Xenopus tropicalis: one gene and its partner. The protein of the gene in region 1 purifies or fractionates together with the protein of each later gene. This does not show direct contact. Links are inferred from orthologs where the notes say so. Each region holds a gene or a part of one and is shown on either strand. Other genes may lie near its edges.

What was found.
Region 2: the proteins of l3mbtl2 (region 1) and cbx3 purify together in Homo sapiens (affinity purification with mass spectrometry; 5 studies listed by BioGRID and IntAct, with this or other methods). This does not show direct contact. The link is inferred for Xenopus tropicalis from reciprocal best matches to the Homo sapiens genes L3MBTL2 and CBX3.

The regions. Positions count from the first base shown.
Region 1 is NC_030680.2:115,998,462-116,006,414, reverse strand, and holds part of l3mbtl2 (lethal(3)malignant brain tumor-like protein 2), read left to right. Parts: coding exon 1-17; intron 18-352; coding exon 353-500; intron 501-1,478; coding exon 1,479-1,561; intron 1,562-3,865; coding exon 3,866-4,100; intron 4,101-7,368; coding exon 7,369-7,434; intron 7,435-7,568; exon of another isoform or gene 7,569-7,953. UniProt on the Homo sapiens protein: Putative Polycomb group (PcG) protein. PcG proteins maintain the transcriptionally repressive state of genes, probably via a modification of chromatin, rendering it heritably changed in its expressibility.
Region 2 is NC_030682.2:41,662,258-41,670,310, reverse strand, and holds the start of cbx3 (chromobox protein homolog 3), read right to left. Parts: upstream 5,549-8,053; 5' UTR 5,503-5,548; intron 4,655-5,502; exon of another isoform or gene 4,631-4,654; coding exon of another isoform or gene 4,581-4,630; intron 2,247-4,580; coding exon of another isoform or gene 2,141-2,246; intron 1,705-2,140; exon of another isoform or gene 1,690-1,704; coding exon of another isoform or gene 1,675-1,689; intron 1,534-1,674; coding exon of another isoform or gene 1,531-1,533; coding exon 1,394-1,530; intron 1-1,393.

The DNA of each region.
Region 1 (7,953 bases):
TTGCTACTGTCTGCAAGGTAAGGAATACACTGATAGTTCAATAAAGAACACAATTCATCATGCTCCATCGAGTGCCCAGAGAACCTAACAAAAATCTGCAGATTATTTTTATGTTATATCAAAATACAATAAAGTACATTTCTTGTGCCCAAATGCTAGAGCACTAAGGTGTGCAAAATTACACTTTATTATTAGAGCCCATGCATAGAACACTGATCCATTATTCAGTTATTGCTTACACCCTCTATCTTTGTACACTGTTTCTTTGCTGGCACCATGTTAGATATAATTACTATTATACTACTACTTATACTTTGATGTTTGTATATTTTCTTTTTGCAATCTGCTACAGATTCTGTTGGATGGATATCTCATGGTGGGCTTTGATAGTGCACCTTCTGCTGATGGCTCAGAGTGGTTTTGTTACCATGCCTCATCACCTTCTATATTTCCTGTAGGATTCTGTCATCAGTATGATATTGAGTTGACACAGCCTCCAGGTAATTTCTATTATTTTAAATGCATTTATATTGCAAGCCACATATTTGTATTCAATAAGGAGGCGAGCAGAAACATGGTGGTTGTAGTGGATGTGATTTACTTAAATTTTGCTAAACATTTACAGAAGTTTAATGATTATATTAAGTAATATTTGCTGTGAACATATATATTCATAGATTGGGAAGCTGGACTTGGATTTCTTATTATTGAGTGCTCTTCTGATATGTACTGGGAGCTGCTATCTTGCTATCTTCCCATTGTTCTGATGATCGGCTGCTGTGAAGGAGACGGAGGAGAAAGATATCACTCCAACTTGCATCTCGGTTATAAAGTGTGTCTAAAGTTTATCAGAGCACAGGTCACATGGCTGTAGCTCCCTGGGAAATGAAGAATATGGCTAGCCCCATGTGAAATTTCAAAATTCAATATAAAATAATGTGTTTTTGAAAAACGGATTTCAATGCAGGATTCTGCTGGAGAGGCTCTATGTATATAAACTATAGTAGCAATTTTGTAGCAAAGACACTAGTTTTACCAGTGTAGGGCAACAATACATTTTAATTACTTTAAAACACTTTCATTTTTGATGTTACTCTTCCTTTAATATAACAGAGGTTAAAATAAAGAACTACTGATCACTTAATAAATGTAAATTCATTGCTGCTGCTAGAGTTACAGCCATATACACTGGGGTGTGCCTTCCATCCAAACCTAATAGTTAATATAAGTATATCCTATATATTGTTGGATTATCCTAAACATCCATTAGGGCCACCATGCACAGATGTCCATAGCCATGTTTAAATTGTTCAACCAGCATTTCAGAAGTCTGGAACTGTTAATAATCACATGTAGGCAAGGACCATTCATAGTGTATAGTTGTCCTGTGACATTCACACCTGACAAAAATTGCAATAATCATCCTTGCTTTTTCCCCCTTCAAATAAAAAGCATGCAATTTTTATTTTGACCTGCAGGCTATACCAAAGAAACATTTTCCTGGGATGAATACTTGGAGAAAACTGGTTCCAAAGCAGCGCCTGCTCGATTATTTAACCATGTAAGTTATGGCTGTTTCTAATACATCACCATATACAGTGGTGTGAAAAACTATTTGCCCACTTCCTGATTTCTTATTCTTTAGCATGTTTGTCACACAAAATGTTTCTGCTCATCAAAAACCGTTAACTATTAGTCAAAGATAACATAATTGAACTCAAAATGCAGTTTTTAAATGAAGGTTTACGTTATTAAAGGAACAGTAACACCAAAAAATGAAAGAGCTTTAAAGTAATAAAAATATAATGTACTGTTGCCCTGCACTGGTAAAACTGGTGTGTTTGCTACAGTAACACTACTATAATTGATATAATAAGCTGCTGTGTAGCCACGGGGGCAGCCATTCAAGCTGGAAAAAAGGAGAAAAGGCACAGGTTACATAGCAGATAACAGATAAGTTCTGTAGAATACAATAGTGTGTTATCTGCTATGTGCCTGTGCCTTTTCTCCTTTGAATGGCTGCCTCCATGGCTACATAGCAGCTTATTTATATAAATTATAGTAGACTTTCTGAAGTAAACACACAACTTTTACCAGTGCAGGGCAGCAGCACATTATATTTTAGTTACTTTTATACACTTTCATTTTTTGGTGTTACTGTCCCTTTAAGGGAGAAAAACTCCAAATCTACATGGCCCTGTGTGAAAAAGTGACTTAACTGTGGTTTATCACACCCCCAGTTCAATTTCTGTAGTCACCCCCAGGCCTGATTACTGCCACACCTGTTTCAATCAAGAAATCACTTAAATAGGAGCTACCTGACACAGAAAAGTAGACCAAAAGCACCTCAAAAGCTAGACATCATGCCAAGATCCAAAGAAATTGAGGAACAAATGAGAACAAAAGTAATTGAGATCTATCAGTCTGGTAAAGGTTATAAAGCCATTTCTAAAGCTTTGGGACTCCAGCGAACCACAGTGAGAGCCATTATCCACAAATGGCAAAAACATGGAACATTTGTGAACCTTCCCAGGAGTGGCCGGCCGACCAAAATTACCCCAAGAGCGCAGAGACAACTCATCCGAGAGGCCACAAAAGACCCCAGGACAACTTCTAAAGAACTGCAGGCCTCACTTGCCTCAATTAAGGTCAGTGTTCACGACTCCACCATAAGAAAGAGACTGGGCAAAAACGGCCTGCATGGCAGATTTCCAAGGCGCAAACCACTTTTAAGCAAAAAGAACATTAAGGCTCGTCTCAATTTTGCTAAAAAACATCTCAATGATTGCCAAGACTTTTGGGAAAATACCTTGTGGACCGACGAGACAAAAGTTGAACTCTTTGGAAGGTGCGTGTCATTTACGTGTCGTTACATCTGGCGTAAAAGTAACACAGCATTTCAGAAAAAGAACATCATACCAACAGTAAAATATGGTGGTGGTAGTGTGATGGTCTGGGGTTGTTTTGCTGCTTCAGGACCTGGAAGGCTTGCTGTGATAGATGGAACCATGAATTCTACTGTCTACCAAAAAATCCTGAAGGAGAATGTCCGGCCATCTGTTCGTCAACTCAAGCTGAATCGATCTTGGGTGCTGCAGCAGGACAATGACCCAAAACACACCAGCAAATCCACCTCTGAATGGCTGAAGAAAAACAAAATGAAGACTTTGGAGTGCCCTAGTCAAAGTCCTGACCTGAATCCTATTGAGATGTTGTGGCATGACCTTAAAAAGACGGTTCATGCTAGAAAACCCTCAAATAAAGCTGAATTACAACAATTCTGCAAAGATGAGTGGGCCAAAATTCCTCCAGAGCACTGTAAAAGACTCGTTGCAAGTTATCGCAAACACTTGATTGCAGTTATTGCTGCTAAGGGTGGCCCAACCAGTTATTAGGTTCAGGGGGCAATTACTTTTTCACACAGGGCCATGTAGGTTTGGATTTTTTTTCTCCCTTAACAATAAAAACCCTCATTTAAAAACTGCATTTCGTGTTTACTTGTGTTATCTTTGACTAATAGTTAAATGTGTTTGATGAGCAGAAACATTTAAGTGTGACAAACATGCAAAAGAATAAGAAATCAGGAAGGGGGCAAATAGTTTTTCACACCACTGTACCTCCCTTTATAGGAAACACCCTATTCCCTTATTAGGTATAGGACCAGGGCAAATGTTGCTCTTGTTACTAAACTTGATACTATGCAGCCACTAGCTTTGCATCTCAATTTCTGTTATCAGATCATCCCTTTAAATAAGGGACACTTAAGAAAAATACATTTTAAATCGATGGTAATTTGATCCATTTATATAATAGAGAGTCCAATATTTTTAATAATTCATATAATTTTTTTCTCTGTTCTGGCCAGGACTGTCCTAACCATGGCTTTGAGCCAGGTATGAAACTGGAAGCAGTGGATCTAATGGAACCACGTCTTATCTGTGTGGCAACTATTACTCGAGTGGTCCAACGTCTGCTCAGAATTAACTTTGATGGGTGGGATGTTGAATATGACCAGTGGGTAGACTGTGAATCCCCTGACATTTATCCTGTAGGCTGGTGTGAACTGCTTGGATACCAACTTCAACCCCCTGTGGAAGATGGTATGAAAGTCATTATATTGGTATTTTTTGTTTTTAAATGCACTTGTTTTTAGTATAATCTTTGCTCTGCCATCTCTCCTCTACTTTGTGCAGGTCAGTTCCATGTCAAAGTAAGTGATGTAAAGTAATAACAAGGAATTGCTGGCATTTCTTGTGCCACAAATATTAGTTTTTTTCAAGGTTACTACATACGCTTCCTGGGAACACATGCCCAGGATATTATTAAAGGTCCCAGGTCAAGAACAAAATTTCAATTTTTTTAGAGGAAAAATTATGATAGAAAGTTATAGATACATACAGTGGCTTGCAAAAGTATTCGGCCCCCTTGAACTTTTCCACATTTTGTCACATTACAGCCACAAACATGAATCAATTTTATTGGAATTCCACGTGAAAGACCAATACAAAGTGGTGTACACGTGAGAAGTGGAACGAAAATCATACATGATTCCAAACATTTTTTACAAATAAATAACTGCAAAGTGGGGTGTGTGTAATTATTCAGCCCCTTGAGTCAATACTTTGTAGAACCACCTTTTGCTGCAATTACAGCTGCCAGTCTTTTACCAGCTTTGCACATCTAGAGACTGAAATCCTTGCCCATTCTTCTTTGCAAAACAGCTCCAGCTCAGTCAGATTAGATGGACAGCGTTTGTGAACAGCAGTTTTCAGATCTTGCCACAGATTCTCGATTGGATTTAGATCTGGACTTTGACTGGGCCATTCTAACACATGGCTATGTTTTGTTTTAACCCATTCCATTGTTGCCCTGGCTTTATGTTTAGGGTCGTTGTCCTGCTGGAAGGTGAACCTCCGCCCCAGTCTCAAGTCTTTTGCAGACTCCAAGAGGTTTTCTTCCAAGATTGCCCTGTATTTGGCTCCATCCATCTTCCCATCAACTCTGACCAGCTTCCCTGTCCCTGCTGAAGAGAAGCACCCCCAGAGCATGATGCTGCCACCACCATATTTGACAGTGGGGATGGTGTGTTCAGAGTGATGTGCAGTGTTAGTTTTCCGCCACACATAGCGTTTTGCATTTTGGCCAAAAAAGTTCCATTTTGGTCTCATCTGACCAGAGCACCTTCTTCCACATGTTTGCTGTATCCCCCACTTGGCTTGTGGCAAACTGCAAACGGGACTTCTTATGGTTTTCTGTTAACAATGGCTTTCTTCTTGCCACTCTTCCATAAAGGCCAACTTTGTGCAGTGCACGACTAATAGTTGTCCTATGGACAGATTCCCCCACCTGAGCTGTAGATCTCTGCAGCTCGTCCAGAGTCACCATGGGCCTCTTGGCTGCATTTCTGATCAGCGCTCTCCTTGTTCGGCCTGTGAGTTTAGGTGGACGGCCTTGTCTTGGTAGGTTTACAGTTGTGCCATACTCCTTCCATTTCTGAATGATCGCTTGAACATTGCTCCGTGGGATGTTCAAGGCTTTGGAAATCTTTTTGTAGCCTAAGCCTGCTTTAAATTTCTCAATAACTTTATCCCTGACCTGTCTGGTGTGTTCTTTGGACTTCATGGTGTTGTTGCTCCCAATATTCTCTTAGACAACCTCTGAGGCCATCACAGAGCAGCTGTATTTGTATGTGTGTGATCCATTATCCAGAGGAAACCAGTTATCCAGAAACTTCCAAATTTTGCAAAGGCCATCTCCCATAGGTTCATATTAATCAAATATTTTTCCTTATTGTCTGTGATAATAAAACAGTACCTTGTACTTGATCCCCACTAATATATCATTAAAGGAGAAGGAAAAGTAAAAACAAAGTAAAATTTATCAGAAAGGTCTATGTAAATACAGCCATAAGCACTCACAGAAACGCTGCACTCTGTCAAAAGAAACACAGGATTTCTTGTCTTCTTTTGTGAACATATGTTCTTCAGTGTCAGACTTCCCTCTCTCACAATAATTCTTCAGGGCACATGCACGAGTTTGCTCCTCTCTCCCTCTTTTCCTCCTTTCCCTACCATGAGAATTTGCTCCCTCTCGAATCTTTGTAATCAGAGCTACCGGCAGCGAAAGCTGCAGCATTGAAGCTACTGAGACCAAGCTAAAATGGCAGCTGCTATCTTAAACAAACAGAGGGAGCTTCTAAGGTTGGTTTACTCAGGTATGGTACAGCTCTCTACAGAATAAATATAGCATTCTAGCATAAACTAATTTGGCTTATCTTTTGACAGTAAAATACCTTTCCTTCTTCTTATTGAAGGCAAAACAATCCTGTTGGGTTTTAATTAATGTGTATATGATTTTTTTTTAGTTCTAGATCTGGAAGACCACAATAAATCATATGTTTGATGAAGCTCTAATGGCTTCTAGTTATTGCTGGGTGGACTGCACCTCAGTGAAATGGCTGTTTCCATTTAGATTCTGATTCTGCATTGCAAGGACTTATTTTTAACTGTTTTGGCAGGAGATCCCAAACTAAGTACAGTAGGGCAGTGAAATCATTATCCACCAACATCAAAAACAGGAGAAAAACAAAAAAAAAAGTCAATGAAAAAAAAATACGTTAAGAACAATCTACTTTATTTAAGCAACACTTTTATGTCCTTAGGTGTTTCATGCTCCATGAGCACTTAGGCCAGTAATTGAAATCATTACACTAAATTCCTGTGGTTGGGTCTGACTCAGTAAAGCATGATCATTAATGGCTGTACAAAAATATATAAAGGGTAATGCAGACACTAACACAGTTAAAGTGGATACAGGAATATAAATAAAGCCATTATTACTCCAGCCTATTAGAGGTTTGCTCCCCTGCAAACCTTTATGCGCAGCAGACCATTGTGGCCACCAATAGGGTTAGCACCAACACTGTATTTTGCAGGGCTTTGGAATCAGTTCATAAATCCTTTAACTCCAACTGCTCAGTTAATGATACTTCCAACTCCAGGTACCCAAATTTACTTCTAACTCCACAGCTCTGTATCCCTAGGCACAGGCCCTTGAGTGCCTATATGGTAAATACGGCCCTGGCTAGAGCATGTCCCTACAGAGATAATTATGGGCGGGGGAAGATTTAAACATCTCAACAGTGTTTCTTCTTGTGTTTAAATACAAAATTGCAGAAAGGGAGTCTAAGCACCCTATTGATTCCTATTCCTACACAGGAATGAACCAGTATCGCTGTAAGTTAGTTTCCAGTAATAAGATAGTTACTTAGTAAAAATTGGTAATACCACGTTATAAAGCATTCTCATGTTTTGCTTATCTCACTTTCCCACCCCACTGCAATGATACACTGTTCTCTCTCACATGTAGAACCAAAAGAAGAGCCAAAGCCTAAGGAAGTCAAGAAAAAGAAGAAAGCTGCATTTGGAAAGAGAAGTAAGAGTTCCTCTATCAAACATTTATTTTCGTAGCCAGTTGTGCCAAGGTCATTTGAAATTCTGTTCCAAGAAAGAAATGATGGTCTGTCATCCTTGTTCCTTCCTCTTTCTGCCTTTCTTTTACTTCAACAGTTGTCTGTGTGTGATGAGAGTGGGAAAGCAAGACTAAAGCTGGCATAAACATAAGATCACTTGTTCAGATCTCTCCCTGATCAGTGGGCGATATCAGGCTGATACGATCTTTTGGCCCTAGGACCAAATGACCAGACCACAACAATGGGGATACAGGCCATCTAGAAGACCGCGTCAACAAGCTGATACAGTCCTCAATCCGACTGAAAAATCAAGCCTACCCTATTGATATCTGGCTGATTATCTACCAGTTATCTCTCGGGCAGGCCCATCAGAGGGGCTCGTAGAAAGGCAGATAAGCTTCCAGATCAGTCTGAAGGACCCCAATTGGCAGCTTAAATCTGCCCATGTACAGACACCTTAACTTAAGAATATGCTTATCTGC
Region 2 (8,053 bases), on another chromosome or scaffold:
ATAGCTGTCACCTCAGCCATCAAGTGTTGCAGTAATTTAATCAGTGAACAGCCTCTTTGAAATCTTTCAATACCTGCCACACTGGTTTTCCAGTGGTTAATAGTAAGGCTGCAGTGTCCCCTTTATCATTTAAATTTCTTCCCCTCCTGCAACTCACTCGGCCCCCTCCCTTGAGAATTTGCTTTGGCTGTTGGTTTGTGGACATGCTCAGTTGTTCTAAGCTCAGATTACTAAACACGCCCCCCAGTCTAGCAGCCAGTGAAGAGATGGCATTGCTGGTCCCCATAGAAACTCAGCTCTAGCTGCCTGCTTCAATTTTTTTCTCCTGAGCTCAGCTTTACCATTACACTGCTTAAACAAAGCAGAACTTTTTATCAGAGACAGTTCTGCCTTTGTGAGCCTGTATTATTGATGAAATGTATGCTGAATAATGGTCTGTGTGTGTGTAGGCTGTTTGCAGATTTAAATGAATCGGATTATGTATCAGAGGAAAAATGGCCACCGGGTGAAAGTTGCTATTTACTTTAGGAAAATGTGATAGTGCTGGCAAGAGGAGGTGATATATGCAGTACAAATGATGCCATTTGGGTGGGGGAGACGTGCCCAACTGATATACATTGTAGGTAAATGTAGGCTTTACATGTCCTTTAACTTTCAGCTATAAGGGTGGCAATAACACAGGCGAGTGTGCCTACTAACCCTTGCTTGTAGGAACACTCCAGTTACTTACAACATGCAAAGAAAACTTAAAGGAAAAGGAAAGGCTAAGTCACTTGGGGGTGCCAAAATGTTAGGCACCCCCAAGTGACTTTAACTGCTTACCTTTTACCCCGGGCTGGTGCCCCTGTTAGGAGAGAACCGAACCTGCGAGCATCTCCTCTTCCTGGTTCGCACGCTTGCGCAGTAGAGTGAAAAGCTGGACAAAGAAGTCTGCTTTTCACTCTACTGTGCATGCACCGGCCCAGGGATTTTCCCGGCAGAAGGAAAAAGGAAGCGCTCACTGCAGGTACCCAGGGCTGGTGCGGTAAAAGGTAAACGATTAAAGTCACTTGGGGGTGCCTAACATTTTGGCACCTTTGGAAGTAGTAGTCAGCACAACACCTTGTATTTAGTTTGTAACAGTGCAGGTTTCCCAATGGCCACATTCCATCGGCATATCCAGGTACAAACGATCCGGAACAGCACCTCTTACATTTTAAATTAAAATGCCTTTATTGAAAGTTTCAGGGGCAAACAGCAGCAACGTTAACATTTTGGCTTCCCCAAGTGACTTAGCCTTTCCTTCTCCTTTAAAAAACATCTCTAATACTAAAAAATGTTTTCATCAAATTTCTAAATACTGTTCAATATCAATAAAATGCTGTGGTAGAAGTTGAATGTTAACACTACATACTCTGTGAAACCTTTCCATTTGAGATAATATTCAACCTTTCCATTTACTACACGTCTGTCCAGAACTTTTTCTACAACAAATTCTTCAGGCTCTGCTTCCTCCACTTTCTTGCCCTTGCCATTCTGTTTCTTTCCCATGGTCTGTGGAAAAAGAAATATATATTGGTTAAGTATACATATCTATTTTGTAAGAAGGAAACTCAAAAGGTACATTTAAAAAAAAAAAAAAAAAAATTTAGTACATCTTAATAGTTCGACCAATGGCTTAAAGGGCAAATATACCCATCTTTGTTCCATTGTGAAGTGATTCTGCGAAAATCCCACAGCTTCCCAGAGAATGTGCACCACCCGCTACGGAAAGCAGAGGGACTTCAATTTGCAGAATTAATCACCTCCTAATGAAAGGTGATGTCTGTAAATATAAATATATTATTTTATTACAATTTGAAAGTTCAGATACTACTTATTCTACATGTCAAGAATAAGGTATATTTTCCCTTTAACATAGAAAGCATTAGAGCACTAAAGTTAAGGGACACTTAAGAACTTATTTAAAAGGTGAAACCAGATAATTGCTTGACAATAATGTATGTATGTCAAACTAAAGTGCACACGTAATATTGTTTATGCCCTCAAAGAGAGGGATGCTCCCCCCCCCCTCAAAACAATACTGCCTGTCTTACAACATAAGTCCTTCACATATGCTATATAATATACTAGAAATAGAAGCTAGAAATCAGATTGTTACCATGTTAATTTCTAATTGTGGAAGTCCTCCACTCTTCATCTTTACTTCTGACTTCCAAAATACTGCCTGGCTGCTAGGATTATTAGCCCAGCAAAAATAAACAAACCTATAAATCAAAAACAGTTTCTACAAATGAATGTTCACAAGTACAAATGGTGGTTAACACTCACATCTGCTACATCAACAGCAAAGTTACATATTTTAGCATGCAATGCATCTTTAAGGTCTAGCCATTATCAGGTCCTGACAGCATGTAGAAATTTTTAACCACACATCAGTTTATAACTAAAACAATTTTAAAAAGAAGCTGTTTGCCTTCCAAACAGATTTCAGTTCAAGCGTTTTCACATAGTACACCAGAAAAAAACTAAGCTCGAGTGTGTTTGGAAAGTAAACAGCCCCTTTAAGATAAACATGCACAAAATGCATGCTTAATGAATTACATATAGGTCCCATTGCAGTTGCAGCCTTTCTATAAAAGGCATACACTAAGTTGAATAAATTCCTTGTGGCCTAAAGCCAGACAGACTATATCTGGTCTGACTCACTGCAGCTAGCCTGTGGCAGAATAAGTAACTTAAGGGCAAAGACATGCAGGGCAATTAGTTGGTACAATTGAGATTTCTTGCACAAAACAAAAGCAGATATTTTCATTTGGGTTCCCTTTCATTCAAAGTTCCCGTCCCTACAATCAAGGTCAAAACAAATCAGTTGCCCACTAAGATTCCTTGCCCAGCTGCAGCCTGTAAGACAGAGATAAGGAACAGCAGTAGAACGCAGATCTGTTTTGACCTTAATTATACAGCCAGGAAGTAGAATGCAACTTTGTTTTAGATTGTGCCAGTTTACTACAAGAAATCACAAGAATGTTTTTCTTAAATAAGATAGAAGTGCATTTGGCACAAGCCCTATTCACTGGGGTGCACTACCCCTTTAAGAGACATTTAGATATCAGAAACATATGTTACAAGACATGCATTATTAATACAGTAGTTATCAATATAAACCAATAATTGTATATGCAATTAGTACTCTCCATTTCAAACTTTCCTGTTAACATTAGTGTAAAATGGCACTTCAGACTGTTGGTCACATGAGAGAATTTCCAGCCTCCTGCTCCCTGATTACATACAGTACAAGTTCTTAGCACAGTACACACCGTGCCAGCACTGCCCACTGATAGCTGCTATGCTTGATCCTACCTAACCTAATAGAAACACTCCTCTTCTGTAAAGGAACAGCCCCTAATACTGTGAGCACCATTCCAAAGACAATATGCACCACTTTTTCACAGCCTTATCAAAATTATCCCAACACAAACTGTATTATGCTTACAATTAGGTGCTAGCTCCCTGCTATGTAGTAAGTTATAATGTTAAAGCACAAGGGTGCCAATAAGTTAGAAAATTATTTCTTTGGCCAACTATTCTCACAAAAAGTGCCAGACTTTACCCAAGGATTCCTAGCACAAACTTGCACATGTCCAGTTTAATAAAAATTTTCCAATGGTAGTATACCGTGCTTGTGCTAGTCTGTTTACACTAGGAATTCCAGGGAAAAGTGCAGTATTGTGGTATCACTGCTACTTAAAGAGCTCTAGGCTGGCACATTTTTATTCCAGAGATAAAAATAAAAACCTAACCTCTGTCAATTAGGTTTTCTTGAGATTTAATTTCACTGGAAACTATGGGGTATTATCCCAAACCTTAAGAGACTGGTTTTTCATTTGATTATTAGAACAGGTTCAGCACTCAAAAGGCAATTCATTGCTCCAGAAAAAGGACTAATCTAAACACCTCTAAGTGACTACCTGAAGATTCTGGCCTGTTTAGTGCAAAGAAGAATAAAACAATATAAATAATTAACACAGGGAAAAATGAAGTTCAATGAGACATTGGATAAGTGGAAAAACCCCTAATTTTGTAGGCACTTATGAATACTATATGGTGCTGGTGTCACTTCGGGCTAAAAATTAATCCTATCTGTAAAAAGGTCTCCTTTACTGGAGCTCCATGTAGATCCTATCAGTCTTCTGTGCTTCAAATGAAGGGCGGGAGTATCCTAACAGTTGAATTCACAAGCAAAGACATACTTCAGTTCCCTATTGGGTCCGCCTAGCGTAGGTTCCTATCCTACAGTGCAGTGTGCCAAGAGCCAGTGGTTCCCCTGCACATCCAGAGATTTCAGCCTGCAGGAAGTGGAACAGATGGGCGGGACTAGAGGGGTCTGTGTATAATGTTTCAATAAATCAGTCTGAAACAACTATTTTAAAGCACAATCCTTCTATATTTAAAGTATAATTCACTAGTACATTCTTAATTTGTTATGATAAGTCTCCTTTCAGCACACGCCCTTATCACTAAGCCAATCCTATAAACACGGGATACACTGTCCCTTGAAATGAGAAAGCGGTCTGCCGTGAGGCGAAATTCTGCCATACCAGAAACAAAGGCAGGAATTTTCTGCTGTGACTGCCGTGCGAGACTCCATAACCCCCCCGCCCCCCCATACAACATTAGCGTGAAAGCAGCTCTGCGCAACGTGCATCCAGATAAAGTTTTACGCCGCTTCACCTCCCAAGCCGGAAAGCAAAAGCATCCCCCACCCCCTCCAACACGCATGCGTACATGTGAATGAGCCGCAACATGATTGATTAACCGAATGTATTCCGGAGGGAGATGAGGAACACACATTCACGGAAACTAGAGATTAGACTGTCGCAGGGGAAACTGCATGGCACAGTTGGAAACCATTATAACCAGCGGCACCGAGCTTTCCCTATGATTGTCCAGCCCGGGTAGCCATTGCCCTGTATACCCTTTACTTTCCCTACTAACCACCTAGAGGCCACGAACCTTCGCGCCTGCGCACCCCCCGTACCGAACAGCATTAGCTTCATTGTAAAGAAACCCAGTGATACAGAGAAACTCAGGGGGTATCCATCCTAGCACTATGTGAGAGTTACTGTGCGCTGCACCGGGCATGGGAATACTGGCGGAATACCACTAACACTGCTAGCGTCATATAAGTGCTAGGGGGCCGCTCTTCATTCGGCAAGATATATACGTGAAATAGAAAGTTGTGACTTTTTCTGCCGTTGAACTACAGCTCCCAACAAGCCCAGGTAGCGGTGAGCAGCAATTGAAGACAAGGCAGTATGTTTGCAGAACGGCCTCCCCGCCCTTACACAATGCCTCCCACCCATTGGTCTGTGCTGCTACTCTGCAGCAGGCCTCCGCTTCTCTCCCAAACTAGCAGCAATTTTCCCGCCTCCCCAACCCTGCCGGGCCGTGCTTCTCCCATGCTGCTCCTCTCCCTCCTCATGCCCCCGGGTACAACATTCCTCTCTCTCATCCCCGTACCTCACTCTCTTTGGATAACCAGCACCCGGTGACTCCTGCTCCGTCCCCCTCACACCGAGAAACGCTCTCCAAGCCGCGGCTGCCTGCAGCTCCGATGTGCGCAGGAGTGGGAGGGCCCGAGTGACGCGCAGAACAATGGGCCCTACCAACACACTGGCGGGGAATTTACTGGCGCGAACAGTAACTCTTTCAATACCATGGGTCTAAGGGAAGCGGCACCCTGACAAAATAGGACAGCCTGCCTTGAGGGCAGTTAATGTCAATTCCGGTACAATCTACACGGGTGTAGTTGAAGAGCCCATGAAGTCAGGGTCTTAATGATAAAAGAAAACCCGAATTATATATTTAATAGTAGTGAGTCACGTGTTGAAAGGTAGGTCCCAGGCTCCGCCCGCCTCTGTCGCTCCTCGTGTAGGTGTCTGACTGATACATGTCGTTTTGTTTGCAAATAATAAAAAAAAAAAAAAAATGCTTGAAATATGTGGCATTGACACATATTTCACTTCACTAGGCCGCCATTTTCGTGTATTTTACGAAGGCACTCCCCTGTCTGTCCAGTGTATGCGTTTCATCATCTGGACGTTCTAGGTATACACTGGCAGCTGAGCAGTCACATCACCTACACAGAAAATATTTATGCTTACAAGTGCAGGGCAGTCTGCCAAGTGCAATTTCAGGCAAACTTTGCTGTAAATTAGATGCAATTGCGCTAAAAAAAATTCTGTCCATTTAATATGAGAGTGTCAGGAACCTATTCTCTAGATGCAAGTGCACTGCACCTATCCAGGGGTGTTTCTTGCCCCTGAGCCACCTGAGGAGGTTCCTACCATGCCTTTACAGCACGGGAGGGGGTCCAGGCATGCCACATCGCTAGTGTAGAGAGTGCCATGGCAATCTCTGCTATAGTGCAGCAAAATTTCCCTTTTAAAAACCAGAAATTTGGCTCCTAAAGTTGTCAGGAGCGGCTATTTGCCTCCCCTGGTAACTTCGGGGGTGCTGCTGCCTGAGGCGAGTTTTTAAACTCGCTTCACAGTAACTGTGCCCCTGCACCTATCGCCTCAGACGGCAGAGCCTGGCAAGTTACCAGGGGCAGCAAAAGTCACTCCTGGTAACTTAAAGGAGAAGGAAAGGCAAAGTCACTTGGGGGTGCCAAAATGTTGGGCACCCCCAAGTTACTTAAATCGCCTACCTTTTATCCCTGACTGGTGCCACTGTTCGGAGAGAACAGCACCAGCCCGAGGTAGATGCAGCGCTTCCTCCTTACATCTTCGCATGCGCAGTAGAGTGAAAAGCCGAACTTTAACAGAGAAGTCGCTTTTTCACTCTACTGAGCATGCGCCTGTCATGTAGTACTTGCAAAACGAAACCGGAAGGAGGAAACGCTCACTACAGGTACCCTTGGCCGTTGCTCTTTTCTACTAACAGGGCCACCAGCCTGGGGTACAAGGTAAGCGATTAAAGTCACTTGGGGGTGCCTAACATTTTGGCACCCCCAAGTGACTTAGCCTTTCCTTGTCCTTTAAGGAGCTGAATTTCTGTTTTTTAAATCAGAATTTCGGCTGTCCGCACTAGCAATGCAGCCCCCCACTGACGCAACAAAGCTAAGCGCAAGGGGGCGGCATTAACATGGATGCCTGAGGCGGCACAGAGTGCTAAAGGGAACTCTGAAGCTACCACCTGGTCCGTACATGGCAGCACCAGGGTTCCTCTGCATCAATATTACATTTGCGTTCAGTATGGAACAGGAAGGCCTGAGTGGTGCAAAGTGCAACTATACAGAAATGCAAAGAGAGCCCTTTGAAGCAAAGACTTTGCATGCAACTGAGGCCAGAGAATTTTGCGCAATTTATCAAACTCTTCTTGCATAGCGGTCGCTCCAGCAGAATAAAAAGTTCAATGCAAATGTCACCTAGATGACTCTTAACTGAATAAACCATGCAACTTTTCTGTAAAGCAATGGTGTATATAACTAATGCACTTTTTCTTTTAACACTGTTGTTGGCAACAAGCTTGTTCTCCTTTATGTAAACCATTTACATTTTGTGCAATTGCACTGCAGAATTTTGCTGTAAAACCGTGGCAAACCACCAATTAAGCTTCCTAGCAAACTGATGGAAGGCGCCAATAACACCAAATTCATACATTCTGTGTCTGCTAATGTCATTAAAGGACAAGGAAAGCCACAAAATAAGATTTATCCCATCTCACAGGTGCTTTAAAATAATGCAGCAGGTTTTTAATTTTAACGGGAAGTTAAGACAAACAAAAAGACATCACTTTATCAAAAACAGTTTCTGAGGCTTGGTACATGCACACATCTGTTGTTCTAGCCCAATGCATGCGCATAATTAACTAGAAGATTTCCATGGTGCTGATAATGCAGAAAGCCATGTGCAATCCTCAGCACCAATAATGACCTTGGACTGCCAACCACCTTTCATCGTTGGTCCAGTAAGATTAAGGGCCTCTACATTATGGGGGAGATTTACAAAGACCCGAATGCTTGGAACGTTCATGCAAATGCTCCGAGCGTATTCTCGCCGTTTTTTCG